Linked DNA regions of Caenorhabditis elegans. The protein of the gene in region 1 interacts with the protein of each later gene in a pairwise test. Each region holds a gene or a part of one and is shown on either strand. Other genes may lie near its edges. The genes, in order: ncs-5, pkc-1 and F08G2.5.

Region 1 (9,825 bases):
GCATTAAAAAGCCAAATTTGCACGCTTTGTGAATATCTATAAAATATGCAAAAAAATGATTTATGAGCATTTTTTGAAAAAAAGTGTCCAACTGGTGCAGTGGGATTTTCGCTGGCTTCCAATCACAAGACCGGGGTTGGAGTCCCCACTGTGGCACAAATTTCTCTATTTTTTTTGAAGTATTTCAAACACGCTGAATCTAAATTTCCACATTGCAAAGCTCAAAAATTGATTTGAAAAGTTGAAAACTCGGTTTTAAAATTAAAATTTAAAAAGTCTATTTATTTTTTTTCGAATACTGATTTTTTCATCACAAATTGAAAAACTTGCACGCTTTGTATATATCTATAAAAAAAATGCAAAAAATGATCTGTGGGCATTTTTTGACAAAAGTGTCCAAATGGCGCAGTGGGATTTTCGCCGACATCCAGTCACAAGACCGGAGTTCGAGTCCTCACTGTGGCAAAAATGTTTCCTAACTTTTTTTTGGGGTATTTAAAACACACAGAATCCAAATTTCAACATTACAAAGCTCAGAAATTGATTTGTCAAGTCGAAAATTCGGTTTTAAAATTAAATTTTTTAAAATATACCAATTTTTATTTAATTTTGAAAAATCTTAATTTTGGCATGGAAAAAAAACCACACAAATAAAGTTGAACATGAGATCTACAGATAAAGGAATGTTATATCAAGGGTTAAATCACTTTTTCGATTAAAGAGGCTTGGCACAGTTGGCAAATCCATTCGGAGCTGGGGAGACCGGAGTGAAGCCGATGCTTGAATCGTTGTTTTTCTGAAACAAAAATGAGTTGAAAATTTGAAATCCTTGTAAAATTTCCGTTAATTTGACACCCATATCGACTGGGTTTCGCAAAATTTGTATTTCGGGCTTCTTGAAACGGCCTGAAACGGCCTGAAAAGGCTACAATACAAATTTTGTGAAAACAAGGCATTGTGAATGTTATACTAACACCGTAACGCGTCAAATTTGTGTTCGTACCGATAAAGTCATGAAAATCTAAAATGTTGGGCCTATTTCGGCCTGAAATGGCCTGAAAAGCCTGAAACTCCAACACTCTTGATTTATGTGTTAACACAGATAGAAATAAACCAAAACTAAACATAAATTTAACTCATGGAACTGTTTGCCGAGCAACTAATGATTTTGGCCTAAAAAAAAGCCTATTTAGGTCTAAAACGGCCCAAACACCTAAAAATTTTGAAAATGGGCAATTTTTGTGAAAACAAATTGAAATTTTGTTAAAATTTAAATTTTCAAACAAATTAACACCCAAAATGGTAGAAACTTCACATTTTGGCCTATTTCGGCCCAATCCGGCCCAAAACGGCCAGACTTTAAAAATGTTTGAAACCTAGTCAATATGGGTTTCAAATTAACGGAATTTTTGCGTAGAATCCGAATTTTTTGACAAAAATTCACGAAAATCAGCCAAAATTCGAAATTCACCCACCTGAAAGAACCGGATCATATCGTCATAGGTCACTAATCCATCCCTATCACAATCCAGTTCGGCGAATATTTTTGTGGCTCTTTGCTGGACGGACTCCTTATTGATTTCTTCACCTCCGCCTAAAAAAATGTTCAAAAAAATTTGGAAAAAAAAATTTGAGAATTTTTTTTTATTCAAAAAATTTTTTTTGTTCAAAAATTGTAAAAATTCTTACTTTTTCCTTCATTCAACTGGAATACTGACTGGGTAAAGTCCAAAAAAGCTGAATATCCAAAACAATCGCCTTCTCCACCCCCAGTTATCAATCTCATTGTCCATTTGGCATTAGTCTCGGCGGTCTGAGGCTGTACATGGGAAAGGCTGTCTAGAAGGTTCTGAAACACTTAACATTTATCAAAATTCACTTAAAATACTTAAAAATTTGATGAAAAGCGCTAAAAATCAATTTTGGAGCATTTTTGAAAGAAGTGTCCGAATGGCTCAGTGGGATTTTCACCGGTTTCTAATCACAAGACCGGGGTTCGAGTCCGCACTGTGGCAAAAATTTTTATTTTGTTTTTTTCACGGTAATTCAATGACGCTGAATTCAAATTTCACAGTTTCAAATAAAAAAAATTTGATTTTCCTATAGAAAACTTACCTCAAAAGTGATAGTCTTCTTGTCGACCCCGGCGAACGCCGTAAAAAGCCTTGAAATATACTGATCCGTGGCTTTTTCCGGTGCAATTATTGAGGCGAGCAGGTTTCGGAATTCTTCTTCTTTCATTTTACCGGTAGGTGATTCCTGAAAAAAACAATTTTTTCAAAATGGCACAGTGGGATTTTCACCGTCTACCAATCACAAGACCTGGGCTCGAGTCCGCACTGTGGCAAAAATTTTTATTTTCTTGTTTTGGGGTAACTTCTGGGTTCCGAATTCAAAAAGTTAAGTTTCAGCGTAGAAAAAATCTCAGAAATGGTCGAAAATTGGGTTCAAAATTTTAAACTGGAAAAAAGTTTGAAATTAGCTCTAAAGTTGGAATTTAGAGTCACTAAAATTTGAAACAGTGCCTAAAAACGTATTTTCTACCAATTCCAATAAATTTCAGGATTTTTCGAAAAAAAGTGTCCAAGTGGCGCAGTGGGATTTTCACCGACTACCAATCTGAACACCCGGGTTCGAGTCCGCACTGTGGCTTAAATTTTTTTATTTTTTGTTATTGGGCTAATTCGGCTGTGCTGAATTCAAAAAAAAAAAGTTTCAGCGCAGAAAAGTTTCAGAAACGGTTGAAAATTGTTCAAAATTTTAAACTGGAAAAAAGTTAGAAATGAGTGCTACACTTTGAATTTAAAGCCACAAAATTTCAAAAAACTGCAAAGAAAACGTATTTTCTGTGTATTTCCATAAATTTCAGCGTTTTTCAAAATTTTGCCAAAATGGCGCAGTGGGATTTTTGCCGACTACCAATCACAAGTCCTGGGTTCGAGTCCCCGCTGTGGCTTAAAATTTTTTTTTTGTTTTCCTGTTCTAGAGTAATTTTACTATGCTGAGTTCAAATTTCCATATTCCAAACCTCGAAAACCTCACATTTTTGAATTTCGCATACATATACTTTATCCATTTCGGACTGAACTGTGTCCTCTGCGTCAACTGCTCCAACGACGGTGGTTGAACTCCGATCTCCCATTTGTCCACCACCTCGTCTAGATCCATATCTTCATTTTTGTAGAAAATCTTGAATTGCAGCGCCCGTATCGACCAGTACAGGCGGTGGAAGAGGGTGTCGAATATGGAGTTGGTGAATAGTTTTGGTGGCTCTGAGTAGGCGTTGTGCACGGCTCGGTCGAACTGAAAATTACAGAGTTATAGTGAAAAAATTTAAAAAAAAAGCAAGATTGAATCAAAATCCGGAAAAAAACCTTTTTTTTTACAAAGAAAAAAAGTTTGGTGAAAATTTTCAAAAACCTTTTTTTTTTGGATTTTTGGAGAAATAGAATAGTTTCAAAAAACTAAAAATTGCCCCTAAGCTATACGGATATAGATAAAAATCAATAAAATTGGAAATTTGAGCATTTTTAACGGTTTTGTCCAAATGGCGCAGTGGGATTTTCGTCGTCTACCAATCACAAGACCAGGGTTCGAGTCCCCGCAGTGGCGCGAATTTTTTGTTTTGATTGTACTATGGTATTTTGAATGTGGAGAGCTCGAATTTTTAAATTTTAAAGCCTAAAAAATGGTACTTTTCCGATTTCTGCCCCCCAAAATGTTTTTCAATTTTTTAATTTAATTTAATTCACACGTGAATGTTTATTTCAATAGTATTTTAATTTTTTGGCTTAGAAAACAACAATACTAAGCCTGAAATTACAAAAAAGTTCACGTTTCAATAATGCAATTTTCGAAAACATTTTGGGGGGCAGAAATCGGAAAAGTACCTAAAAAATTTTTGAACAAGCTGAACATTTTAGATTTAAAGTTCAATTTTAAATATATTAAAAAATATCTTCAAAATGTGATTTCTGAGTGTAAATTTTCTAAAATTTTAACTTTGAACGTGTTTCATCATTAATTGTGGTAATTTTCCAAATTTTTTCAAAATTTTGCCAAAATGGCGCAGTGGGATTTTCACCGACTACCAATCACAAGACCAGGGTTCGAGTCCCCGTTGTGGCAAAAAATTTTTGTTTTGATTTTTTGGTGGTTTTTCATAGCGTACGATTTGAATTTTTAGGTCTCCAGATTGAAATCGTGAGAAAAATCGTGAAAAATCGTAAAAATTTTATTTCAATTTTTTTTTTTCGTTTTTCTTCGTTTTTCTATATTTAATATTCACTAACCATTTTTAATTTTTTTCCCGACAAGCCTAAAAATCAGAAAACTTATACTAAGAAAATAAAACAAATGAAAAAAAAGTTATGGCGAAAGCTAGAAAATTGGAAAGCAGGTGGAAATTTTTAGAGGAAATCAATACGGAAAACTCTGGATTTTCTGATGAAACCAGGTGAAAATAAGGGCTAAATTAGAATTTTAACAAGATTTTATTATTTTTGAGCATTTTTGAAAATTTTGCGCAAGTGGCGCAGTGGGATTTTCGCCGACTACCAATCATGAGACTGAGGTTCGAGTCCGCGCTGTGGCAAAATTTTTTTAAAAGATTTTTTTTGGTTTTTGGGGAAACTCAAGGGTGTTAAACTCAATTTTCTATGCTTGATATTCCAAAAATATCTGGAACAACTTGTTTTAAAATTGATGTTCTCAAAAAATGGAAAATTAGTATTAAAACTGGATTTTTTAGGAAAAAATTGAAAATTTTGACCCAAGATTTTTCATAATTTTCTATGAATTTTCGACAAATTTCAAAATTTTGCGCGAGTGGCGCAGTGGGATTTTCGCCGACTACCAATCATGAGACCGGGGTTCGAGTCCGCGCTGTGGTCGAAATTTTTTTTTCAGTTTTTTTTTTGGTTCTTGGGGTAATTCAAGGGTGCTGAACTCAAATTTCAATGTTTTAGGTTTCAAAAATATTTGGAACAACTTGATAATTTAGTTTAAAATTCGTAAAAAAATTCGATTTTTTTTTTTCAAATATTTTAAACTTACTATAATCTGATAGAGACTTTGCTCATATTGGTCCTGTAACATAGTAGATTTACGACCTGGCCTGTCGCCACGTCTCGAGTCAATTGATGAGGCTCCGCCCATTTTTTTAACTTTTCATTTTTCACAAAAAAATAATTTCAAAAAAAAATTTTCCAAAAATTTTTTTTCGGGTTTATCTTGTTTTTATGTTGGAATATAGCTGATAGGTGATAGTGGTAATAGACAAGTGATGATATCAGTGATAAATGAGGGTTGAGAGATGAGAACTGGTGGCACTGGTGGCACCCCCTCCCTGCTGACACGACAAGTGATAGTGGTCGAGCAATTGAGAGATATCAGATGGTGATAAGAGGGGAAATGATGAAAAAAGAGAGATAAACACATATATAATGTTGTTTTTGTGTTTTTTTTTAATCTCGAAAAAAAAAAATTTTTTTTTTTGAAAAAAAAGTTGAAATTTTTTCGAATTTTCCCGATTTTTTACAAATTTTTAAGGTTTAAAATTGTGAAATTCAAGATGAGAACCTGTAAATTACACATAAAAAACAAAGTGAAACGGAAAAAAAATTGGGCCACAGCGGGGAGTCGAACCCCGGTCTTGTGATCGGTGGTCGGCGAAAATCCCACTGCGCCATTTGGAAACTTTTTTTCAATAATGTTGGTCGTGCAAAAATTGAGTAAATTAACGTTTCAAGCATGAAATATAATTATTTATATGGGAAATATGATTTTCAAGCTAATTTTCAGCGTTTCGAAAAAAAACCATTTCCCAAAAAACCAAAAAAACCGAAACTAAATTTACGACTATTTCTAGAAATTTTACAATTCTAAAACTAGTAAATTCAAGCTCTACACAACTAATATGCTCTCACAAAACTAGAAAAAAAATTGTGCCACAACGGGGACTCGAACCCCGGTCTTGTGATTGGTAGCCGGCGAAAATCCCACTGCGCCATTTGGACAAAATTGTCGAAAATGGCGGAAAATGGCTGCTTTTATCAAAAATTTATCTTCTTAAAGTTTTTGTGCAAATCTTGGAAAGAAGTTTCATAATATAGAAAAAAAATTTCAAAAATTTTTTTTTCAATGTTTTTAGTACGAAAGCCCAAACAAATTTTGCCGAAAAAAGAAAACATCACTCACTAGACACAAAAATTTGAGAAAAAAGAACGAATAAATGCCAAACGCATATCCTTTTCGTGTCTTTTGGAATGGGAAAAAGAGATATTGAATAGAAGAAAAAATAACTGGAAAGATATAAATGGAATTGTCTTCTTTTTTTGGTTAGAATGCTCGTTTGGGTATGAAATTACAAAAATTCAAGTTTAAATTCTATTGATAATAGGAAAAATTTTGGAAAAAAATTTTTTTGAAGATACAAAAAAAACTAAAATTTTATTCTAAAAACTGAAAATTAACGTGACAAAATACAAAAATTCAAGTTCCCCACCCTTAAATTGTCCTTAACCTTTTCGAAAATTACAAAAAAAAAATTTTGCCACAGCGGGGACTCGAACCCCGGTCTTGTGATTGTAAGGCGGCGAAAATCCCACTGCGCCATTTCGGCAAAATTTTCAAAAATAGTGAAAAATGCTAAAAAGTGGGATAATTGACAAGTAAACACATTTTCAGCGTAAATTTTCTGTTTAAATGAAAAAAAAACCAGTTCTACAACCAATTTGAAATTTGAAGTATTGGGAGACGCTTTTCGACAAGTTCTCAAACTTTTTGCGGTCTGAAACCTCGAAATTCGAGTTAATTATCTTTGAATTACTCGAAAAATCCACAAGAAAAAATTTTGACCACAGCGGGGACTCGAACCCTGGTCTTGTGATTGGAGCCGGCAAAAATCCCACTGCGCCATTCAAACGAAAATTTCAAAAAAGGTGGAAAGTGATGATAATAATAAGAAAAATAGGTTTTCAATCCATATTTCACAAATTAATTCTAAAAATCTAATAATTTAAATAAAATTTTCACAATTTTCGGATAAAAATTTCGAATCCAAAATTTCGACCTTTCTAAAAGTTTTGCACCTTTAAAACCAAAAAAATGCAGGTTTTAAAGTCGAAAAAACCGTAAAACTGCTCAAAATCACAAGGAAAAAAATTTTTGCCACCGTGCGGACTTGAACCCCGGTCTTGTGATTGGGAGTCGCCGAAAATCCCACTGCGCCATTTGGGCAAAAGTTACAAAAACACTAAAAAATGTAAAAATTTGCAGGAAAATCATAAAATTTATGTTGTCACTCGGGTTTAAAGACGAAATGAAACAAAACGTTGTGAAATTTGATAGGACCCTTTTTTTTCGGAAATCAGAGCCCCCGAGGAAAGAGGGGGACTCTGATTTACGATTGAGCATTGAACAGGAGGTGGAATATCTGTTAGGCTTTGTTATGAAACTAGAAAATTGAAAATGAATTGAGAAAATTTAGGAAATTTGGGAAAATTTTTTTCAAAAAATTCGAAAAAAAATGTTTTTTTCAAAAATTTGGCCTAAAATTATTTTTTTTTTCCCAACATTTTTTGTTTCAACTTGGGTTATTTTAGTTTAAAATCAACGTTTTCCCACATTTTTCACACCAAAAAATCGAAAAAAAGCAGCGAAAATAGAGAAAAAAAGCGAAGAAGAAGTTCTCATCTTCTATCTCATTTCAGCGTCATTAATTATTCGACTTTTGTGGTGTTGTGGTGGTGGTGTGTAGCATTGGTTATTAGTTGTATCTCTAAAAGTCTGTGGAACAAGAAAAAAATTATACATACTACACTCTTTTTGGAAGTTTTTAGGCCAAAGATGACTGACTTTGCCGATATGCTATATTAAATAGTATATTTTTTGCATTTTTAAAACTCAAAATATATAAAAATTACGAAATCTACCTTAAATATTACATTTCTTTCGAATTCAGTCAATTTCCGCCATTTTCGACAATTTGTCTGAATGGCGCAGTGGGATTTTCGGCGCCCTCCAATCACACAACCGGGGTTCGAGTCCCCGCTGTGGCAAAATTTTTTGTTTTATTGTTCTTAAGGCAAACCGACTGGGCTGAGTTGAAAATTTTAGGTTTTGAAGCTTAATAAGTTCCAGAAAATACGAAAATTTAGTTTTTAGAAAAATGTGGAAAAAACAATAGTTTTCTTACTTAAAAATTTTTCACTATTTCAAATTTTTTTGCTATACTGACAACAAAACTAAGCTTATCATGCTAAAAATACCGCCCAAGTTGGAAAAAATACAGAATGTCAGAAATTGGGTGCGAAAAGTCATATAAATAACTAAATGCCTCTTCACGGCCCGTTGGGTGACGTAAAGGGGTACAAAGAACATACAATTGGGGTGAAAATGAAACAATAACACAAAATGGATCAAGTTTTTGAGAAAAAATCATTTTTCAAAAATTTGTAAAATTTGAAAAAAAAATTTCCAAAAAAAAAAATTTTTTTTGGCAAAAATTTTTTCTCTTAACTTTTTCTCAATATTAGCTTTGAATTTTTAAAACATACTAAATAACCAAATTAGCATACCTGACTCGGCCTCCGACGTATCCGTTCGCTTGCCAATGGGGAGAACACATTTTTGCCTGAAAACATCCGTTGGGTGCTGGAAATTTGCAATTGTAGGTTTTTTTTTGGGTTATTTGATTGAAAAATTGTTTAGAATGATGAATTATAAAAGTAGAAAATAAATAATAATGAAAAAATTCGAGTGAAATTTTTTTTTTTTTTTTTTGAAATTTTTGAAAAAAAAATTTTTGGAATTTTTTTTTCGAAAATAATATTTTTCTTATTTTTTCTCAAATTATTATATTACTAATTTTACTTTATTTTTAAGTATGTTCCAGTAAAAAAACATTAAAAAAGAACAAAAAAACACATTTTCCCTTCAAAAGTCATCAAATAGTTGCTCCGCGGAGCAACTATAATGGAGCTATTACAACTTAATGTGTTGGTGCTCTTTTTTTCTGTTTTTTGAAGAGTTTTCTGTGTGAAAATGTAGAAAATGTTGAAAGGTAACTTGAGAACAATTTTATGAATAGGAAATGAGGAGCACATATCGGATAACCTATAATTGTTCTAAAATCGAAAAAAATTGGGAGAAAAATTGATCCAAAACATAGAAAAAGATGTTTAGTATAGACAAAATTTCATTTTTCATTAATTTCCGCCAATTTACGCCATTTTTAAAATTTTTGTCCAAATGGCGCAGTGGGATTTTCGGCGCCTACCACTCACACCACCGGGGTTCGAACCCCCGCCGTGGCAAAACTTTTTGTCTTAGTGTTTATAGGTTAATTAAGTGTTGCGAACTTTAAATTTGAAGTTTTAAACCCCAAAAATTTTCAAAAATATGAAAAAAAAATAGAAAACTGATATAAATAATTGAAAAACTGATTTCTGTTATTTTTTTTTCAAGCTAAAAATTTAAATAGTAATCTTGACCACCACATTTTATTAATTTCTTTGATTTTCCGTCATTTTTGATAAACTCCAAATATTGCACAAATGGCGCAGTGGGATTTTCACCGGCTTCCAATCACAAGACCGTGGTTCGAGCCCCCGCTGTGGGCAAAATTTTTTTTTCGTGTTTTTCAAGATAATTTCGAGTGATTAAAAGGCGCTGATTTTAAATTTTAAAGTTTGAACAACTAAAAACTTTTGAAAATTGGGGAAAAATGACTTGAAACTTATTTACCTTCAAAAAAAAGCTTATAGGAATCGATATTTTTTGGGGTTTCGTAGTTTAAAATATAAAAATACTTCAATTTTTCGA
Region 2 (7,910 bases), 6.8 Mb from region 1:
GACACAGCTGAAATTAAGAGAGAGAGAGATGTTTGAACAAGCGTCGGCTGTCAATAGGCACTGCTTTGATTATTATTATTATATTGCAAAACAGAAGAGAACTGATTGCTTTCGTTTGAAAATCAAATGCGAAAGCTGAGCACTGGTTGAATTTAGGGAGACCCAGTATACATTATTACTAATAAACAAATTTCTGCTAAGAGATACACAAAATGAGCGTATGTTTGGAATGTTTATAGCTTTCTCAATTTTGGTCGAAATAAATGAAAGAAGAATGTAACTTTAATTTCAATAGATCTATATAAAATATTTTATGATAGAAATTAATCAGTATGTATCGCCTACGCATTCTCATTGGTCCTACTCTACATTCATATGCAAAACAAATTAAAAAGAATAATAGTACTCGAAAAAGAATGGAGAGTGTGTTGTGTTAGTTTAATGTTTCTATCTCAATCCGTCATTCTGACGGTTAATAATACCGCTTACATTGTCATTATTAGTTTTCCCCTTTCTACTACTACTACACAGTTGGGTCGTTGTTCACACCGTATCCAATCGAGAGGATAACCCCTTTCTACTACTTCTCTGTCATATAGTAGATCGCGTCGATATGTTTGTATGTTCTTTTGTCGTCGATCCTTCTCGATTGACGATTGACCGACGCGTGTTATGTTTCCCATTCTGTTTAGGGGAGAATCGACCCGTTGTTTTGAAATGGAGCAGTCACCAGTAGCCGCACAATGAAGTAACAGGATACTGGGTCAACTCGCATCATTCACTTCCCTACAATGTCGAGCAATGTGTAACCTAGATGATCTGATTTAGGGATCATCATGTGTATTTCAGATACAGAATTATTATATTAAAATTTAAATATGAAGCAGCTTAATTTGGAATTTTGCTTAGGAAAATCAAAAATGTCACAGATGCAGAAATACCACAGAAGAAAAACATAAAAATCCCAAAATAATGGAAAATCCTTCTATTAAGAAAAACGCTATTTTAAATTTCAGAACTTCCTGTATGAATTCCCTCTAAAATAAGAGGACTCGCCCACTTGCGGGTCAATCAGAAATTTTGATCACCACGCAATCCGTCTAATTGGTTTAAAAGTGGGCCGAGCGAATCGCTGATTGGTCGCAATTCTTATTTTGGAGGGAATTCAAACAGGGAATGTAACATCGCGTTTTTTTTTCAAAGTAGGATATTCATTATTTCACGATTTTTTATTCGTGTTTCCTTTCTGGTGTTTCTGAATTTGAGACTTTTTTGGATTTTCCTAAGCAAAATTCCACGCTACTCCACCTTTAAAAAATATACTTATCTCCCCTAACTTTGATAATATTGTTTTCCATACTCATCCACATAATCATATTAAAATTGTCCAATAAAAGACCTCCCATCAGAGGTGTCGTAGATGAGCACGAGGGTAAATATAGAGTTGATGGGAGGACAATGAGTATGGTGTGGATGAACGGATGTAATCGAGTTTGCTTATGCGATTATTCTGCTTTTGACATTTCATTCTTTATTATGAGGCTTGAGTAGGCAAACAAGCAACTAGTCTTCAAATCTTTGATGAAGAAAAATAGATCAGAAGATCTTAATAATTTCAAAATGTTTTCAGAAAAAGGAATCGTCGCAAGTGAGAAGAACAACGAATTTATTACTGTAGACATAAATGCTCGCGAGGTTCCAAATGGAAAATGGAGAGTATTAACAAAACACGTTCCAGCCAACATGTTCGTCATTATTCGATATGCAACGACGGATGAATATCAGGTTGAAAATGAATTTACTATAAAAAAAAACAAATGTTTCCTATTTAAGACAATGGTAACATCAGATCGGAGTCAAGTTAAAAAGACCGGCGTAAAACGTGGAAATGATTCGTTTTGGACACATGAGTCATCAAATCGTGGAGGATTGAATGTATTCGATAAAGAAGGAAAAGAACTCGAATGGGATTATGAGCATGATACAAGATTTTACAACGAAGATAAAAATGAGGAGAAAGTCGAGAAAGTGAAACTTCCACAGGGAATCAAAATTAAAGTGAGTTTTTGAATTCAAATAATTCATTAACGGTAGAGTAGATTCGATTTGGAATTTGCTTTAAATTATAGAAAATGAATCATAATGTAACAGAATATAACTGTTAAAAAAATGTTTAAGATTTTATTTTCACTTTTGCAAAAATTTGAAAATTGGCTAATTATTTTTGAATTCCCACGCAAGTTAATGACCTAGTTTTGACATTTCGGCGTTTTCTGGTTAAATTAATTAGGGTTAATAGTTTCTCTTCTCAATATTTCAGATTAAAAAACACTAAAGAAGTTTCTGCGAATTTCTTTCATTAAGTTAAGTTCATTTTCTTGCGCGGAAATTCAAAAATAATTAGCCCATTTTTATGATTTGCAAAATTGAAAATATCATTAAAAAAATTTAGAAAAAATTATATAATTTTTTAGCAATTATTTTCAGTCATTACAGAGAAGGAATATGCAAAAGAAGTGATGAAATTTGTAGAATGTTCCTATTTTGTAGATTTTTTAGTTTCAGCAGGTATTCAACATTAAACTCGATTTGCTTTTTTAAATGGTTATTTATGATATCTCATCGTTCCTGCAGTACCTTAGTTCTAGAATATTTCAAAAATCAGATTTATTTAAATTTAATTTCAAATACCATATTTCTTTTATATTGTTAATTTCCCAAAAGTATTGCGGTTTTTATGTAGAGATTCGATCAAATTGTTTTGATTATTGTGTCACAAAGATAGTAGTTATATGTTTTTTTCTGCAAATTACGAAAAATTAATGTGAATACTAAAACGGTCTAGTTTTTGAGTGGATCTCTCAACAAAACATAGTTAACTGAAGAAATGCATTATTTATGATCTTATATTTTTCACAAAATACTCACAAACTCTAAAATGTTATAAAATAATTTTCAGGGTCGAGGAGCTGTGAAATGCGGATTTCTTTTCGGCGAGGGAAGTAGTTCGTTAGCTTCTGATGACACCACTCCAGTCAAGAAACGGAGAACTGATGAAAAAGATTACGAAAAGGATGATATCGTATCACGGCAAGGGTCTTCTGCACACGCCATACGACCTGGAAGAGTTGAACGTCCAATTCGAGAACGGATTCAATTTCCTGGAAGAGAAGATCCAGATGAATATTAACAATATCTCACCACAAACTGTATTTGTTTTTTTAATTTCTCACAATGACCAGATAAATTTATTTGTTTCCATGTTTTGTTATGTATTTTATTTTCTATGAAGCTGTCGGTCGCTTCTATTATACTTTGATCCAGACGATCTTATTCTCAAAACTTACCATTTTTTCAGTAATTTCACGGGTCAATATGTCATAAAATGGTAAGGAGCATGACAAACTGACAAGCAAAAGAATGTTAAATTTTTATTTCAGAAATTCTTCAGTAGTCGGACAATATCATCTGGAGGATTTTGGGGTAAAAATAAGAATAAATACGCGTTGAATGGAAAAGTTTCACCAAAGGATTCAGTGTTGTTAAGGAAGAGGAGGAAGATTATATCAAGACGGTATCGCAGGTTAGTTTTTAATTTATTTTATAAAACTGGGAAATTCTTTGCAAATTTTTTCCGCATAGTTTCCACAGAAAACAATGATTTAGTCAATATCGGTGTTCTTCCTGATTTCTCTCGCTTTCCTGAATGTCTCGCTTTGTTTCAAAAATCTTTTGAAATTCGTTTGTAGTCAAAAAGTGGCAAAAACTCAGTTTTCGCCTAACATCATTTTCGAAGTCGATCAAAAATTCTCTCGTACGAGTTTATATTTTAATTGCGTTAGAATTGTTCGTATTTGAACATTGTAAATTTTAGACCTTGTAGGAATGTTTACAATTTCTCAAAAATCCAACAAAATTGGCAATTTACCAAAAACTGTGGATGGGAATTTTTGAAGTGTTTAATTGTGATATTTGGCCATGTTAGACTAGTATAAGTGTATTTAGGTAAATTCCTCACTGAAAATGTTCCAGCTTTTTTAATCAATTAGAAAGTAATTTTGGAATTTGGCTCAGTAGCTCTTACTGTGTATCATGGCCCGACATCTACCGGGTTGCGCCACTTCTGTGTGTTTTCGAAAAGATTCGCGGAACCCGGTAAATGTCGGACCATTAGTATATAGTAAGACACACTCATTTTTAAGACCCCTCTTTTAATTTAAATATTTTTCCATTGCTTCTTGAGAATCTGAATTTAAATATCTTTCGCTAATCTGAAATTTAAGCGCAGGTGAAATTTTTCGTGAGTATCGTGTTGAATTAAGTGAAAAACGTTATCACCTGTTTCTGCCAAACACTCAAAAATGGTGATAATTGTAATGAGGCAAACTCCAATTTATAATTAAATTTCTCATAGAGAACTATTGTTATAAGTTTATAGAACTATAGTATTTATCTCGTAAATTTGGATAATTTGCAAAGATTGTAAGAACAATTTAGTTTCATAATGAGATAATACAATTTTTGTTACGTTCTCGATCTGTAATTTCTCTCATCTCATCCGGATAAATGAAATAAGAGGAAAACCGATTCAAAGACGACGTCCAACGTAAATTTGCTTCCTTCATTTCTTTTTCTCCCCATAACTGAGAGTTTTGTGCATAAAAAAGTAGCTGTTGAAAGGCGCAATTCGAAGAAAAATGCGAGAGGGAAACAAGCTGTTGCTCTCTTGCTCTTTCTTTTTTCCTTTCTCACTTCCTTTAGATCTTGTTCGTTCAGTTAGCTCCCAGCCTCTCTCTCTCTCTCTTCCGATTCACTTCACTCACTTAAAAATGTATTCATATGTACCATAAAACTATTTTTCGTCACACTAAATGCAGCCCATGCGCTGAACTTTTTGCAACTTCACACTCAAAATTCTCTTTTTTTTTTGTTCTCGTCATCAGTTTTTCGCCGCTGGCTCTACCGGAATCTCTCGATGAAAAGATTTTTTACTTCGAGTATAGTGAGCTCCCTTTTCTTTTCTATTTTAGCTTAAGGCGGCGGCAAATTCTGTATACAAAATAGAGACGCATAGAGAAATGCAAAAAAGGAAGAAGAGGAGCGGCAAAAATGCAGATTTTTCTCATCAACTGCTCGTGAGACCGAGCATTCAAGCATCACATTTGTTGAGATGGTCACGGTGTTGAAATACTTTTTTTTGTTGTTATATCGAGATAGAGTTGTATACAGAATGGAAATTAATCTGATATTTAGAATAAAAAGTGCTAGTTTTTAGTCAATTTTACGTTGTTCTGATTTATTACATCGACGATCCTTGATGCCAAACTAGAGATTTTCGAATGTGCATTGGGCAAAATATCTCGTAGCGAAAACTACAGTAATTCTATGAATGTGTCGATTTATGGCCTCGATTTTTGAAATGAATTTATTTTCAAACAGTAAGTAACATCGATATTCCCATTTCTTTTGTTTCTTCGGATTGTTTTCTTTTTATTTTGCTTAATTAAAAAAAACTATCGATAAATTAATGATTTTAATTCATTTCAAATATCGAACCCGTAAATCGACACAAGGGCTACAGTAGTCATGTAAAGAATTACTGCAGATTCCGCTACGAGTTATTTTGCGCGTCAAATATGTTGTTCAATACGCATTCTCAGAATTTTGTGTTCCAGTAATACTAGGAGCGAAAAAAAGCACAATGTAAAAAAACAACTTGTGTGCCTTGTTTCCCGCTAGAAATATATAGTAAATACGCTTTCGATCCAATTCCTACGATATTTGTTTGACAGCCGGGTGTTCGTTGTCATTGTTGCAGAAACAAACGCCCACTGGCCAGCACTCGTCATAGTATTCGAAAAGTTTTGGGAATTAGAACATTTTTTTCGATTGCTATCTCTCTGAAACGCAGGTACCGGTCTAGGTGTCGGAATTATTCAAATCACTTCAACCATCACCACCATCATCATCACTGTTTGAGTGCGACAGTACACATTCTATTATTGCAACGGATTTTATTTGCCAGTCAATTAAAAAAAAAATTCACTCAACAGTTATTTTAAGATCACTGTCAATCTCAATAGTTCTGATTAGTACTTATTGAGTTTTTTGGCACTGTATTTTAAATATGATCCTTTAAAAAAAGGGAAAACTGTAAAATTATTATGATTCGAAATTATAATTATATGGTTTCTCAGAAGTGCAATGTATAAATTGTCAAGTACGAGTTATATCTAGTTATGGTAAGTTTATCTGATTATACAAGATCACTGAAATTTGTAGAATAATAGGTATTACGATAACATTCATTTTTTACTAGCTAACATTATGTATGTTTCTGCACAAAACATTAGTATTACGCATACAAAGACATTTTTCGGTGAAGTGTTCTCAAAAACTTTTTTTGCTAGGAAACAGTATCCATGAAACAAGTGAAGCGCGGCGCGGAGTAATGCTGGGCTCCGACATTTTGTTAGCTTTCTTTAGACTCAAGTAAGCACAAACTATTCAATTCTATCACATCTGCGAATACTCACTATTTTTGTAATGAATTTTCTCAATTTCAAAAGGAAGAAACTAGGAAAATCATCAGAGATTTCAAATATGACTCCGAGAAAAAATATATTCATGTAGGTTTCTATGTTCGTTTTGTGGTTTTCTTTTGCGTTGGTTCGAACGTTCAAAGATCCTTTGTTCATCTAAACTGATCCATTCACTAGCACCAATTGCTGGTCCGTAGTCCCTTTTTCTCATGGACGTCCAATGTAACTTTTTTCTTTTTTATTTTTCAAACTGCGCGAAAACACGGACTCATTTCTGTTTCCCTCTCTTTCTCTCTCTTAAATATACACTCACACATATACACATCCACATATACTCGATTTTCCACGTCATTGGGTTTAGCTGAAAAGATGGGCTCTCTTCTGTCCTTCGAGGAAGAGCATTTTCATAATCTTATTCGTCTTCAACTTTACTTTTGATCTTTAAGAACAAAAACAACAGTCTGTTAAGTATATTGATATATTGTGTGTTTTTTAAAACATAGGTATACGAAATTCGTTCTTTTATCGTTGATCCCATTGCATATTGTTCACACCTCCTCTTACTTCATTTCCGGGTAGATCAGCACAGGATTAATGTACACAACGACTGCGACTCTTTTCAAATAGTCGCCCTTGTTGTCATCGACGTCGTTGGTCGTCAATGACGGTCGCGTCATCGTGGCTTTAGAATCAAATTGTTGGAATACTATGGATCTCATATGTAGATGATATCTCTTTCTCCCCCATCCTCAACGAGTTCCAAAATATCTATCAAATTGGATGAGTTTTCACCGGATGTATCAAGTAGGAAAAGCTTTTAGCCTTTAATTTCTAACGCTGGAGACGTTAGAGTCTTTAAAATTAGTTCATCGTTTAATTTATAAAATTCTTAATTCTAAAATTTTTGGAGCTATTCTTCTCAAAGATATTCCGTTGTTCAACATTGAGACATGTTATTACTGATATTTCCAATATACTAAACGAGTCATATAAATCTTTTCTTTCAATTGACCATTTTATTAAGACGGATTATACGTGTACTAACCCTTTCACTGGGTTCATTCATTTCCATGCTAGGCGCGCGTGCCTCACACGACCAGTATAATCGACACATTTACGAGAGCATCAAATTGAAATGAGATATTTTTGCCTTGAGCGAATTTCGTAGACCAAATGAACTAAAATGTCTATTTGTATGGAATTGGTCGCAATTTATCTTTCTCTCACCCTCTCATACACCTTTCATCCGTTTTAGGAGTACGGTAGTTTCAGAAGTCGAGTGGATTTTTACATTTTGTTGCTGAATTGGTTATGGAAAGTTGTAAAATCGATTTTGCCGTCAAAATTTTCGAAATAGTCTCAACTTGC
Region 3 (6,099 bases), on another chromosome or scaffold:
TGCATGAGAGTATTGCTCAAAAACGGCAAAATTTGGCTTAAAATTTTGCTCCAAATCGACGATTTTTCTGAGAATTTTGCTCAAAACTTTTGAAATTTGGCTAGAACTTTTGCTAAAAATGTCGAAATGTTTGCACTTTTTTCTTCAATTTTCCCATTTTCCAGGCGAATCCCTAGTCCCAGCAAGTGACGTCAGCTACCTGGCTCCACTTGTTCCGGCTCCGCCAACCCTTCCACTTCTAGAACTCAATACATCTCAAGGCCCATCAACTTCTGGAATTTCACAGCAAAATCCACAACAATCGAGCTCAAGCTTCTTCCATGATGATGATGAAGATCAGGATGAGACGAAGAACTTCCGTGATGAGGAAATCGAGTCTCCAAGGTGTCATGGCTCGACGAGCACACTGAAAAATGATGAAGAAGCTGCTGAGCTCTCGGATTTCCTGAGTAAATCCAATTTGACAACTCTTGAAGAGGTGAGTTTTGGTGGAAATTTAAAATTTTCCGCTTGAAACAATTATAATTACTTTCAGGGCAAGGACTCCGGCTTCAGCACGACTCCAGACGACGCCAAAGAGCCCGAAAAAGTTGCAGCTAATTAATAACGTTTCCCCAACAGTTTCTCCCCCCGATTACACGTGTAAAAATCCTATGGACTTTCGAAATTATTCACTTCACCGAGTTCTAATATTTAATTTATTGATTTTTCTTTGAACTTTTCATATTTTAATTAATTTATTATATAAAGATTTTTAATTAATTCAAAGACATACCTAATTGTCTTTCTTTTCTAGGCCACGAAACAAAGAGTGCTCCACGCGCACCCACGAGTTGTCGGTACACAGCTCCCCACTACCCCTACCCTCTCCTCCATTCAGTATCGCTTCTTCGGCTTATTAGCTAAGATCAAAGTGTAGTATCTGTTCTTATCGTATTAACCTACGGTATACACTCGAATGAGTGTAATAAAGGTTATATGATTTTTGGAACCTAGGGAAGACTCGGGGCTTGCTCCGACTTCCCAAGGGTCGTCCTGGCGTTGCACTGCTGCCGGGCTCGGCCCAGTCCCCGAGGGGACAAAATAAGCTTGCAGAATAGTGAAAAATCAATTTTCAAAAAATAAAGTATAGTTGTTAAATAGACATTCAATTTTAACTTGGCCTTTAAAAACTATAAGAAAAGTCACTCAACTTATTCCCAAATTGACACTCCACGTAAAAGACGTGACCCATAGGTCATAATTGTAAGCATTTCCCTCCCCCCCCCCCACTCAAAATCGAAAACAAAATAAGAATCATACCTCAACTCTCATCCCGAACCGGATAGACGATTGAACACCATGGCTGCTTTCCTGCCAATTGCCTTGAGCATTGCTATGCTCACCGTGCTCACCAATGCCAATCCAATTCACCCGGTCCCAAATGCGGCCTTCCTTCCCTATCGTTCCTGTGGATCCCATCTTGTTCATCGCGCTTTTGAAGCTTGCAGTGGGAAGAAAGGTATGTTATTATATCATTCTTAGCAGGTTAAAACCGAATCATCGCTTTTCAGATCGCAGCAGTGATGTGGATCTTTGGAAGATGTGCTGCAAGGACGAGTGTACCGATCTGGACATCAAGGAGTCTCTGTGCAAGTACGCTTCGCAAGGATATGGAGTAAAGTTTGAGGAGGAAGCCGAAGAAATCGATATGGTCAGCTTTGCGGCGGAGGGTTTTAAAAAGAGCTGTGGACATGATATTGTTGTGAAGACAGTCAATGTACCGACGAAAATATCATTGAAGCAATGTGCCCGAACAAGGGGGTGGCGCCGGCGGCGGCCTAGAAGAATCCCGGACAAGTTCAATCGAGTGCAAAACTATGCCTGTATTAATTGTGTAAAAATAAAGTAATGTATGTATAATATATGTGGATTTGAATTACTAGCGCAAAATTTTAACTGATTTCACAACTATTGCAAGTGCGCTCCATTGAAACGCCACTTATCAACACACCGTCGTCCACTTAACAGACCGTTGGTATATATACTCTGTTGATAGAAGGTTTTTTATCAGGCATAGGTCCGGAGTCGGTGGGTTATCTGAAGAAACCACCCCATCGGCAACAACTTGACTTCCTGTTTTGCATTGTTGGAATTTGGTGGGCAAGTTGATTAGAAAGAAACGTTTAATTTTAGTTAGGCATTTTTCAATTAAATTCGAAAAATAATAAAAATTACAGAAACAAAATAAGATTTCGTATATATAGGCTTGAAATGCAGATTTTTTAAAATAGATTTTTTCAAATCATTAGTCAATTTTTTACCCAAAAAATTACACCTTACATAAAGTTGTTTGACACAGTCTCCTAATTATCGAATTGCGGTGGAGCGCATTTTGTACACTACTAGAGACCCAGAGAAACCCACCACCATTCCTCGAGAAACGTCCACCGCTTGCATTGCCTCTAGTATATATACTTCCTCCTCCCCAACAGTTTTCGAATTCCTGCGGTCCGGATCGTATGGGTTATCAATTCTCAACCACCCCATACGAACTAACTTGACTACCGGAATTTTGCAATTTTTGATAAAAATTACTTGTTTTTGTAGTATGCAAATTAAATATAAAATTTATTATTATTTGTATTTTTTTAAAAATAAATTCGTGTGTCAATAATGAGTTTCTATTTTTGAAACTTTAAAGCACGACAAAGATGGGTCCTGCTGCGCAAAATACAATTTTAGGACGTTTTTTATATAAATTTATAGCATAAATTTTACTATAGAGATATAAGAGCTATGAATTCAAAAATGTTCTCCTTCTAGAGTTATGTAATTGCCCCAGTTTTGCCGGAAATTTCAATTCCGGCAATTTTACGATTTACCGGAAATTTCAATTCCGTCAATTTGCCGGTATGCCACAACTCCAATTCCGGCAATTTGATGATTTGTCGGAAATTTTAAATTTTGTCACTTTGCCGGTATGCCGAAAATGTCCAATTCCGGTAACTTTCAAGTTTGCCGGAAAATTTCAATTCCGCAATTTGCCGATTTGCCGGAAATTTTCAATTCCGGCAATTTTCCGATTTGCCGGAAAAAAAATTTGCAAAAAAATTTGCAAATTCCTTACTTTTTGACCTCTGAAAATTGCGGGAAACATAGACTTCTATGTACTTCCAGAAATGTTCTGTGTGACCCCAATTTTCGGAGATCAAACGGCAAGGAGTTCTCCTCAAATTTGGCAATACTACACACATATCGTCATCAATATTTGCCCACCTTATCAAAGTCATGACTAATTTCGAAACTCTTCGAAATAATTCGAAACTATTCGTCAACAAAACCCACCTATAAAACCAGCACCTCTCACCTTGAAGAGCATCTCATTTACAATGAGAAAGCTCAGCACTCGTCCACTTCCTCTTGGAGACGGATTCTTCGACTCGTCATCTGATAGTTCAGAATCTGAACTTTCAGATAAGGACGATGAAGATAGATATTCCGACTCCACGGTTTCCACGTTAACTTCTCAAGATCGTAGAGACACCCAAGGGTGTCAATATCCACGTTCTTCGGAACTTCCGATCTCTGAATCTCCAGCTCCACGAGCTCGACGAGCTCGTAAACAGAGATCGAAGAGAAAGTCGGTGAAACCTCCGAACACTTCGTCTGACGACTCTTCTGATGACTCTGATGATTCTTCCTCGTCCTCTTCTTCCGATGACTCGGTGAGTTCTAAATCATCAACCAATTCCAGTGACTCCTCGCCATGCCGTTGTCGAGATGGGCTTGCCGAGTGGGAGCAGCGTCATGGGAGACGATGGCATCCGTATGGAAGAAATGGAACGTGGGAACCATACCGCAATCGTCGTCGCGGGATCTATGATTGTGAGAACTCGCCGAGAGAAACTTATTCGAATGGAGCTTGAATTTTTAAATGTAAATATTTGTTTTTAGTTTAATTGTATTCTATTTCATTTTTGGTATCCTATATCTTGGTTTAAATAAGTGATATCGAAAAGTGTTCAACTACAAAATTATTGAAAAAGGCATCAGCAATATTTTGTTTGTTGGTAGTTTTTCGATAAATCTTAAAACAACCGGGATATGACCATTTAAGTGTGTTGTCTATTTATTGTTGTGTAAAAATAAATAATTTGTATTTTTCGAATTTGTGTTTTGTTCTTTATTATTAAATTAAAAAACCAAATAATAAGAAAGAGGTCATATAAAACTGTTGCCGGAATTAAAATTTCCGGCAAATCGGAAAATTGCGGGAATTGAAACTTCCGACAAATTGGAAAATTGCCTGAATTGAAATTTCTGGCAAATCGGCAAAATTGCCGGAGGATTGAAATTTCCGACTAATCAGAAAATTGCCGGAATTGAAATTTCCGGAAAATCGGTGAACCGGCAAAATTGAAAATTTCTGACAAATCGCCAAATTGCCGGAATTGAAATTTCCGGAAAATCGGTGAACCGGCAAAATTGAAAATTTCTGGCAAATCGCCAAATTGCCGGAATTGAAATTTCCGATAAATCAGCAAATTGCCGGAATTGAAGTTTCCGGAAAATCGGTAAACCGGCAAAATTGAAAATTTCTGACAAATCGCCAAATTGCCGGAATTGAAGTTTCCGGAAAATCGGTGAACCGGCAAAATTGAAAATTTCTGGCAAATCGCCAAATTGCCGGAATTGAAGTTTCCGATAAATCAGCAAATTGCCGGAATTGAAATTTCCGGAAAATCGGTAAACCGGCAAAATTGAAAGTTTCTGGTAGTTCGCCAAATTGCCGGAATTGAAATTTCCGGAAAATAGGCAAGTTGCCGGAATTGAAGTTACTGATAAATCAGCAAATTGCCGGAATTGAAATTTCCGATAAATCAGCAAATTGCCGGAATTGAAATTTCCGGAAAATCAGCGAATTGCCAGAATTGAAATTTCCGGAAAATAGGCAAGTTGCCGGAATTGAAATTTCTGATAAATCAGCAAATTGCCGGAATTGAAATTTCCGGAAAATAGGCAAGTTGCCGGAATTGAAATTTCTGATGAATCAGCAAATTGCCGGAATTGAAATTTCTGGCAAGTCGGTAAACCGGCAAATTGCCGATTTGCCGGAAAAACGGAAATTGTCGAAAATTTTCGGCAATTTGTGGTTTTGCACATTTTTTTAAATTTCAGAACTTCAATTTCAGCCGGCAAAATTTTACGCATCCTGTAAATGTTCCTACACCTTTTTTAAAAAGTAAGAAAAAAAAACGGGAAAAAAATTTCAAAAAAGCACAGTTTTCAGTGTTTCCGTCTTATAAAAAAGCCCTCTAAAAACTTCCGGCAAATTGATATCCGGCAAACGGCAAATCGGCGATTTGCCGGAAGTTATCATTTCGGGCAAATCGGCAAACCGACAATTTGTCGACTTGCCGAATTTGTCGAAAAAAATTTTTCCGCACTGCAATTTGCTGTAGGCTCCAAATTTTTAATTTTTTATCGGTTACAGTTTACCTGAATATATTTAAAGATAGAAATATATGTTACAGTGTTCAATATTCTATTCGATTTCGGTTGTGATTTGCTTCAGTTATGCAAAACAGAGGTGTGCGGCAAATTTGACAAATTTGCCGCACTGTCATTGCGCAAAGATGTATAACTCAAACACTATGATAGTTTGTAAAATATTTTCAACTAACAATATGTTGCGATTACGTTGTCTAGACTTTTGATATCAGAATTACATAACTCTGTTCCGAAATAAATACAGCAGCTGACATCCGACGGGTCTGTATTTGACTTGAACTTATGTACTACAAAGTGACCAGAAAAATTTATAGGTTTTGGACAATATGTAAAAAATAAGTATAAAAATATGTATAAAGCAAATCTTCTTAAAATATGAATTACTAGCAATATCAGTGAAACTCAAAAACTCCATTCTTCTTCTTTTCCACATCATTCCATGTCGGCTTCTCCTTCTTCTCAAAATTCTTCCTCAAATCCTTCAATGGATCATCCGGCTGATATGCTGGTGGTGGATCATTCCGCAGATCCCTCTTTGTGCACTTTTCCGCTAGTCTGATACGGGATAGGGCGCTTTCTTGTTTCCTGACCAGTGAATCCAGGTCG

Evidence for each region.
Region 2: the proteins of ncs-5 (region 1) and pkc-1 interact in a two-hybrid assay, tested with the Caenorhabditis elegans proteins (one large-scale study listed by BioGRID).
Region 3: the proteins of ncs-5 (region 1) and F08G2.5 interact in a two-hybrid assay, tested with the Caenorhabditis elegans proteins (one large-scale study listed by BioGRID).

Annotation. Positions count from the first base shown.
Region 1 is NC_003283.11:18,822,179-18,832,003, reverse strand, and holds ncs-5 (EF-hand domain-containing protein), read right to left. Parts: upstream 5,263-9,825; 5' UTR 5,158-5,262; coding exon 5,056-5,157; intron 4,129-5,055; exon of another isoform or gene 4,058-4,128; intron 3,304-4,057; coding exon 3,043-3,303; intron 2,957-3,042; exon of another isoform or gene 2,886-2,956; intron 2,260-2,885; coding exon 2,116-2,259; intron 1,850-2,115; coding exon 1,690-1,849; intron 1,595-1,689; coding exon 1,476-1,594; intron 797-1,475; coding exon 716-796; 3' UTR 582-715; downstream 1-581.
Region 2 is NC_003283.11:12,027,607-12,035,516, reverse strand, and holds the start of pkc-1 (Protein kinase C), read left to right. Parts: upstream 1-3,385; coding exon 3,386-3,388; intron 3,389-3,440; coding exon 3,441-3,583; intron 3,584-7,632; exon of another isoform or gene 7,633-7,769; intron 7,770-7,910. Other genes in the region: Protein kup-1, read left to right, coding at 1,631-1,785, 1,834-2,058, 2,960-3,190. UniProt on the Caenorhabditis elegans protein: PKC is activated by diacylglycerol which in turn phosphorylates a range of cellular proteins. PKC also serves as the receptor for phorbol esters, a class of tumor promoters. Involved in neuropeptide secretion in motor axons.
Region 3 is NC_003280.10:13,830,904-13,837,002, reverse strand, and holds F08G2.5 (WW domain-containing protein), read left to right. Parts: upstream 1-3,371; coding exon 3,372-3,908; downstream 3,909-6,099. Other genes in the region: F08G2.7 (uncharacterized protein), read left to right, coding at 165-478, 536-604; ins-37 (INSulin related), read left to right, coding at 1,342-1,501, 1,554-1,891; F08G2.4 (uncharacterized protein), read right to left, coding at 5,886-6,099.